Neurospora crassa OR74A: one gene and its partner. Each later gene encodes a partner of the first gene's protein in a complex. Links are inferred from orthologs where the notes say so. Each region holds a gene or a part of one and is shown on either strand. Other genes may lie near its edges. The genes, in order: NCU01580 and NCU06646.

What was found.
Region 2: NCU01580 (region 1) and NCU06646 share a complex: the UniProt entries of both Saccharomyces cerevisiae proteins name them as parts of the 7-subunit TFIIH core complex. The link is inferred for Neurospora crassa OR74A from reciprocal best matches to the Saccharomyces cerevisiae genes TFB4 and TFB5.

The regions. Positions count from the first base shown.
Region 1 is NC_026502.1:3,029,957-3,034,222, forward strand, and holds NCU01580 (transcription factor TFIIH subunit Tfb4), read right to left. Parts: upstream 2,538-4,266; 5' UTR 2,219-2,537; coding exon 899-2,218; 3' UTR 537-898; downstream 1-536. Other genes in the region: NCU01581 (hypothetical protein), read left to right, coding at 1-536. UniProt on the Saccharomyces cerevisiae protein: Component of the general transcription and DNA repair factor IIH (TFIIH) core complex, which is involved in general and transcription-coupled nucleotide excision repair (NER) of damaged DNA and, when complexed to TFIIK, in RNA transcription by RNA polymerase II.
Region 2 is NC_026505.1:4,109,593-4,112,695, reverse strand, and holds NCU06646 (RNA polymerase II transcription factor B subunit 5), read right to left. Parts: upstream 1,926-3,103; 5' UTR 1,701-1,925; coding exon 1,682-1,700; intron 1,541-1,681; coding exon 1,392-1,540; exon of another isoform or gene 1,273-1,391; coding exon 1,222-1,272; 3' UTR 1,088-1,221; coding exon of another isoform or gene 978-1,087; 3' UTR 897-977; downstream 1-896. Other genes in the region: NCU06647 (enoyl-CoA hydratase/isomerase), read left to right, coding at 21-399, 513-896, 978-1,087. UniProt on the Saccharomyces cerevisiae protein: Component of the general transcription and DNA repair factor IIH (TFIIH) core complex, which is involved in general and transcription-coupled nucleotide excision repair (NER) of damaged DNA and, when complexed to TFIIK, in RNA transcription by RNA polymerase II.

The DNA of each region.
Region 1 (4,266 bases):
ATGATGGAGACGACGACAACGACCACGCAAAATTCGAAAAGATGGATGTCGACGAGCCGGAACCTGAGCCAGAATCAGAGCCGGAACCATCATCAAAGACGACCACCATGGGACAATCATCTTCTAGCAAAACCCTCGATCACGAGGACGTCACTGATAACGACGAGGACGAAGATGAGGTCCTCAATAAGACATCTGACCGCAACACCCCAGACCGCGACGACGATGACGAAACAGCCAGTGAGCCCGATGAGGAGGATGATGGGACTGTAGAAGCAGGGGACAAGGATCTTGATGTGCCGCCGCCTCCTTCACCGCCGCCTGCTAGACGACAACGCACGGCTGCGGCATCCTCGACAGCGACGACAACCCCTCAGAAAAAGACGACGGCTTCTGTTGTAGGAAAGGGAAAGGGAAAGGAGACGCTAACGCCCATTTCCCATACTAAGAGGGCCGGGGCGACGGCTACGAGAGCGTCTCAGCCTGCTGCTGTAGTAGATGAGGGGAGTGAGACTGAGTCTGATGATGAGTTATGAATGGACGGTGGACGTTGAACGCGAGTCGGGGGAGCATGATGTAACGATGGATAATGACTAGACATGTCCCCAATAACAGGTATCGATGGCTGAATCCTATAGTGGGAATCCATGTCCAGTAAAGTGATATTCGCAATAAAAGCTGTTTTATGGGTATTAGCACTGCATGTCAGACTCTATGTGTATATGTAGTTTTCCAAGCCTTTTGTCCGCTTTCGGTAGACATCCCACGAGCAATCTTGTGGGCTTTACCACTCCCTAGTCTCTAATCAGCCTCTTGACTGCCTGGTTCCCCGGCCCAGGACAAAAGAATCATCCACCATCAGTTACCTCTTCACTCTATTCCATACCTCGCTGAAGACTTATTTCAGCATCGTCCCTTTCCCATTCGCCTGCCCCCCTCCAGGAGGAGCAGCAGCCTTTGAAGGCAGCACAGGTAACTTCCTCCCGTAATTCCCCAACGCTAACTTGGTGCCGCATGTCAAACACTCCCCACCCTCGGGCACCTCGCAAAAAATGCTCAAGCAGATACTGCACACAAACCCCGTATCAATCACGTTCCGATGACAGAAACACGCCGCCCGGAAATCCACCGAGTCCGCACTAGGGGTGACCAACAGATCCGCCACGCTAGCATTACTCCCCAGAAACTTCTGGCCTCCATGCTTGGCCCCTCCCTTGGCCGCGGCGCCAAGGGCCTTCTCGCTCGCCTTGTCCTCTTTCCCCTTATGTCCCCCATGCTGCTGCTGAGACCGCTGGTTCCCTGCCGCCGCCAACCCCTGTGGCGCGCTCCCGCTTCCAAACCCAAACATCAAGTACTGCAATAGTCCCCTCGGCTCCTGCGCCCGTATAAACGTGCCGCGCGTAATATAGCTCGCCTGCTGCAAGAACGTTGCACTACCCCGCAGCGCCAGCGTGTCGATGGCAATGCGCGCGTGCGCCGCCGCGAACACAGCATTCATGGTAGGGATGTACTGCGAGGGGGAGCTGTCGCTTACGCTGACCACCAGGATGCGGGCGTGCAGGCCTGCCAGGCCGCCACCGCCGATGCCAGGGAGGGAGGCTGCGTTGCCGCCGCCTGGGCCGGCGCCGGAGGTTGTGGAGACGGAGGACTTGCCGCCTGCGGAGGAGGGGGTTGGGCCGGTGGCGGAGTTGGAGGGGGCGAAGAGGAGGGCGGTTTTGTTGATGTGCGCGAGGGCGAGGGTCAAGGCGCCGGAAATCTGGGTGGTGGTTGTAGAGGTGATGTCCTCGGTTGTGGTGTCGGTTATGAGAGATCGCAGGGAGGAGAGGAGGGAGCGCTCGATTTGGGCGAAGAGGGGGTATTTGTTTGCGGGCGGTGGAGATTGTTGTTTACTTGTGAAGGAGGCGTCGCGCATTTCGATGTCTTCGTTTGGATTTTGCGGGTGTCGGCCGGGGTTCTGGTCGGGTGCTGTTGGGTAGAGCCATACTGCCCGGTTCGTGTGTGATGCTATGAGAGCTACTTGGTTGGAGTTATTGAAGGCTAAGTGGGAGTTGACAAATATTAGAATGTTGGCGAGCGCTTTCGTGAGTGGGAGGACATCGTTCAGGGCGGCCCAGGCGCGTGGGTTGGTGTCGATGATTATGGTATAAAGGGAGGGGATATCATCGGTGTTGTAGATTTCGTAGTGTTCGGAGGCGTCGACGGCGTCCTGGACCGTCATCTTGACGATGATCTGGCAGGGACAGCCTCAACTCGCTTCAAGGTTGTGTGTGTTGTAGAGCTATATCGTGGATCGAAGCCAGTTGGTGTACATGACGTAGGCCTTTTGTCGCCGCGATACTCAGTGCGCCGGTGCTCGTAGGGAGCTTGTCTGGATGCTGGATCGAGAGATGGCAGGATAGCTAAGCGGGCGCTCTGTTGTGTGATATTCGTTATAGTTGTTGTCTGGATTGGTTATGTCTGCTGAATAGGATTGACGCGCCCAAGAAGACCTTCTCGTCGAGAACACTGCAGATGCGATAACGTAACGGAGAAATGCGATAACGATTTCGGGGTTGCAAGCGAAACGCGATCCAAGTGAAGGCCAAAGGATCCTGGTCCAAGTGCACACGCTACCACGTGATACCCGATAAGGCAGATTGCCGGCATTTTCCTTAGTGGTCAAAAGATATGCAGTTAGAGCACTAACATGCAGTTAAACATACAGATGTAGTCCAGTTCTCGCTTTCCTATTGGTCAAGATATCCTAGCTCCTCTATGTACAATGATATCACCTTCATCCGAACATGTCCTTCATCTCTCATCTTATTCTTCTCTTCCTGCTGTGTCCGATTCTAGTTCAACGACCCCAGCATTACCACCAAAACAGCCGGGTGATGAACACGCAAGCGTGCATAACTTTTGACACCAACAGCGAGGTCATCTTTTTCCTTTGATCCATCCACACCATCACATGTTCCCTTTTCGGTTTATTCACATATCGTACGAGGATCTCCTTTAGAAGGATGGCGCAAGACTGTCAACCGAGAGTGGCTTAAAGTCACCGGCTGTGCAATTCAAGGTGTCCTTGGTCTGTAGTCGGGCTCTTATTGGCTTAGGGGTTACCCCGGTGACGACAGCTTTACGTTGGAAGCCTATGGCCAAGACTATCATCGATAGGTATTGTGAGGTTTTGAGGAAGAGAAGTACAAGTATCTAAGGAAGGGGCAGCCAGGTAGGTAAGGAATAGACAAAACTGAAGCTCAATTTAAGACATTGTTCTTTCCATGCTCTCGCAATATGTAACTGCCTTGATTACTCCCGATTATCTACCTCTAGCACTGTAACCACCACCGAATATTCCCCTATGGTAAGTTGTTCAAGTTCCCGATCTTATAACACCCTTCACTCATACATAGTAGACACAGGAATCTTTCAAGGCCGGCGACATTATAACCCCGGTAGCTCTTCCAGATCAAAGAACAGAAAAGCGAACTTGTCTTCCGAGACAATAATTTACCTTCCAGAACGACGGCAACTTAGTTCTTCATGAATATGCCGAGCCCAGGTGGAACTCATGCGGTCGTCTCTCTATGGACAAAGTGGACGCTGGCTTGTTTCGACCAGTAACGGCAATATGACAAACAGTCTTCCCGGTGGTCATCTCGAGCAAGATGCCGACGCACCGGAGGAAACTATAAATCAATAGTCCAACATGACGGTGCCGCGGTGCCGAAGCTCGATGGAGTCACCCCTGGACCGGCGTTAATGGAGGCTCGGCACAAACATACGAACCCTGTGATGTGAAGTCTCTGAACCCTACTGCTTTTCCTAGAAACAATAGTTCGACAACCGCGCATCCACCTATATCCGCGCGGTCGATCTCAGTTACCGCGCCGACCACGTCCGTGGTGGATCCCCGAGGAATCCTGTCTTTCCCCGGTCAGCGAGTTGCACTCATCTACATCACGGACGACAGCCAGGGGTCGGCGCACCGGGGGGGATATCACGTGGCGGGCCAAGGGTGCGTCAAGTTCGAATTCGGTGTGGATCACGGCCGTTGGAAATCTGTGCGTGGGCGTGAAGGGGAAGCAGAAGATTAGTACTACCTACTTACGTGGCAGAGTGAGATGGCGGGGCTCCGAGGCAGGGAGCGGATGCGAGGTTGGCTCAGGAAGCTGGGGATATGTGCCCATATGCCGGGGGGAAGTGTGCGTGACAATGTGATAACGGCGGCCCGGTGGGTGGTGGAGGGATTATCATGACTAGGGGGGAAATTAGATGATGTCG
Region 2 (3,103 bases), on another chromosome or scaffold:
TCCAGCCCCACATCACCACGATGGCGCAACAACAACAACAACCCCAACTCAAAGGATATACATCCTACAAACACTTCAATGTGACCTCCGCGGGGCCTGCCTTCGTCGTGCACGTGGAGATCAACCGTCCTGCCAAACTCAACGCCTTTTTCGAGGCCATGTGGCTGGAGTTGGGCCAGATCTTCCGGCAGCTGTCGTCGGACCCGGACGTGCGGGCCGTGGTGCTCTCGGGCGCCGGTGACCGGGGTTTCACGGCGGGTTTGGACATCCACGCGGCCAGCTCGAACAACCAGCTGCAGTCGAGCGGCGCCCTCGACGTCGGGCGCAAGGCGGCCCAGTTGAGAAGATACATTACTGAATTTCAGGATAGCATTTCGGCTATTGAATTGTGCGAGAAACGTATGTATTGACTGTGCCGACTTGTCACTCTTCGTTACCCAGGGTGATATATATACGTCAAGCCAATGAACCAGTGCATGCGAATCTTGCTAACCTACAGAAACTCCCTGAAGCCGTCATCGTCGTCCTCCACGCCATCTCCCTCGGCCTCGCCATCGACATCGCCTGCGCCGCCGACATTCGGCTCTGCACGCGTGACGTTCGGCTGGCCGTCAAGGAGGTCGACATCGGCCTGGCCGCCGACATTGGCACGCTGAGCCGGCTGCCCAAGGCCGTCGGCAACTTCTCGTGGGTGAAGGAGGTATGCATGTCGGCAAGAGAGTTTGGCGCGACCGAGGCGCAACAGGTCGGCTTCGTCAGCCAAGTTCTCGACAGCAAGGTGGCTGCCCTGGATCAGGCGATCAAGCTGGCGGGCTTGATTGCTGGGAAGAGCCCGATTGCTGTACAGGGAACTAAGGAGTTGTTGAACCACGCAAGGGACCATTCGGTTTCTGAAAGTACGTTTCCTTTCTTGGTTTCTCTTCCTCCTCGTTGCTCGTTATCGTGAAGGAAAGGCTAAACTGATAATTTTGACACAGGCTTACGGTATACCACCGTCTGGAACTCGGCTGCTTTGCAATCAAGAGATATGATGGACGCGTTATCGGCTAGTGTGCAGAAGAAGAAGCCCGTCTTTTCAAAGCTTTAAAGAGGATCAAGTAGTCCATCGCAGGCTGGTAACTGCTACGCAGTGTTGAAGGTGTATAAATAAATGCATGTAATTCGGGGGGGTTCAGCGACTTGAAGTCACTACGTATGCGTCTCCTATTTACTAGGCAACTCCTAGTCACTATCTGCCAGCGGTTCCTCGGGCCTGTATGTTTCCTTCAGGCGCTGTTGTAGGTAGGAAAGTGTCAGCCAGAGGAAGGTGATATAATCGGACATGATATCTAGTTCACGATGCGGGCCAAACGGTCACACTGGACAAAGCAAAGGGGAAGCATATGACTTACGTCCTCGAGTTTCTGTTTGAGCAGTTGCACCATGTTTTCCTTAACAACCAGGGTCTGCTCATCAAGATCTTCGATGATGATATCGTTGTTAACACTATCCAAGTGAACGATGATGGACTTGATGGCTGGTTCGCACTGGATGAGTACACCTGAGCCAGGGACCAGTGTTAGCAGGGTGAGTATTTGTTTTGCGTTAGAGTCGTGCTGTGCTGTTGCTTATGAATGAGTCTTGACTAGACAAGCCCATGTACACGTCATTTATATGGTATTTCATGGGAATCCATACTGACCTCTGATTGCTCTCGGCATCTTGAATAGCTGTAGTTTCTGGCGGGATGGCAAAATGTCCTGTGATTTTTTTATGTCGCCGTAGCCCTCATCAAGTTGGCCTTTTGGGTATATGCTCTGAGAACAATGTCGTATGCGACGTGGTTTGGAATGTATCGGGCTGTGCTGGTTGTTGGTCGGGATATGGTTGGATCGTTAGATGGTTGGCGTGGAAGAAATGGGTTTGTGTTGCTGTATGGTAACTCAAATACAGCGTTTGAGCGTACAATTTGTTGGCAGCGCCTTCTCTGTAACGACGCGAGCAACCTGGCATGAAGTGACAGAGAAGCAGCGGCAGACACGGGTACCTACGTACGCTTGCAGAATACGGAACATTACGTAGGTACATACGTTCGGGTTCAGGTCAGAAAACTTGCCTTGCGATTACATACCCGCAATTATACTTACTGAACCTTGAATCCAGGTGCTGTCCCTCCAGATCAGATGAATAGATGATGAGGGCATCATGACCTTCACTTCAACCTCAATTGCAAGAACAGTGTGTATAGATGATTCTCACATTCCCTTACCAACAAGCTTCAACAAATAATTCGTCCATGAGTGGCCGGCTGGTCTGGATGATCACATTGGATCTTACTTAATGGAAACCCCGAATGTGATCAAAGCAGTCACAGGCAAGGGGGGACAATGGCGTCTCCAAAAAAACGAATCCTGTAACCACTTTCCCACTCTGTGTGGCCGTTTCGGGCCCTGGACGCTGCCAGGGATCGCTGGGCGGGAAGGCTTAACCGCTTGCAGTAAACCACCCCACCTTTTCGCTTGAGAGTGCCAGCGTGGGAGCGGAGATCGAATCTCAAAACTCGTGCCAATCGCAAGCTCAGATTAGTGATAGTATGGCTCGGATATTGGGTGCGGGTACTGAGTGGTGCCTAGACTGAGAGTTGGGAGTATTTCACGAGGATCCAGGGCAGGGAGCTGCGATGGAGACCAAGAAATATCTTTTCTGTCCAGGGAGTCCCAAAACCCTCTTGTTTGCTCCTGGATTGCCTTGCGGCGCAGGGACCGAGGTAGTATGTCGTTGGCTGACAATGATGAAATAGGTGCAGCAAACCAACGTACCCTACCCGTTCAAAACATGCCATGTCCAGTCTTTTATCCGTCTTGAGAATGAAAAAGAAAAAAGGAAAGGAAAGTAAGAAAAAGAAAAGAAAAACAAACGTCGATATGACGAGGGCGGATAGAGGTGACTAGGTACGACTTGCCGATGGCGGTTTCAGATTCTGTGCATCGGGAGCTCGATAACCGGTAGCGCCTTGTTACACCAAACTGAAATGTGACAAAAGTGAAAGACCCGATGAACTGTCGAAGATGTGATCGCAAACGAAGCCCGCATTCTTGAACATGGCGGTGCTTCCTTCCGTTCT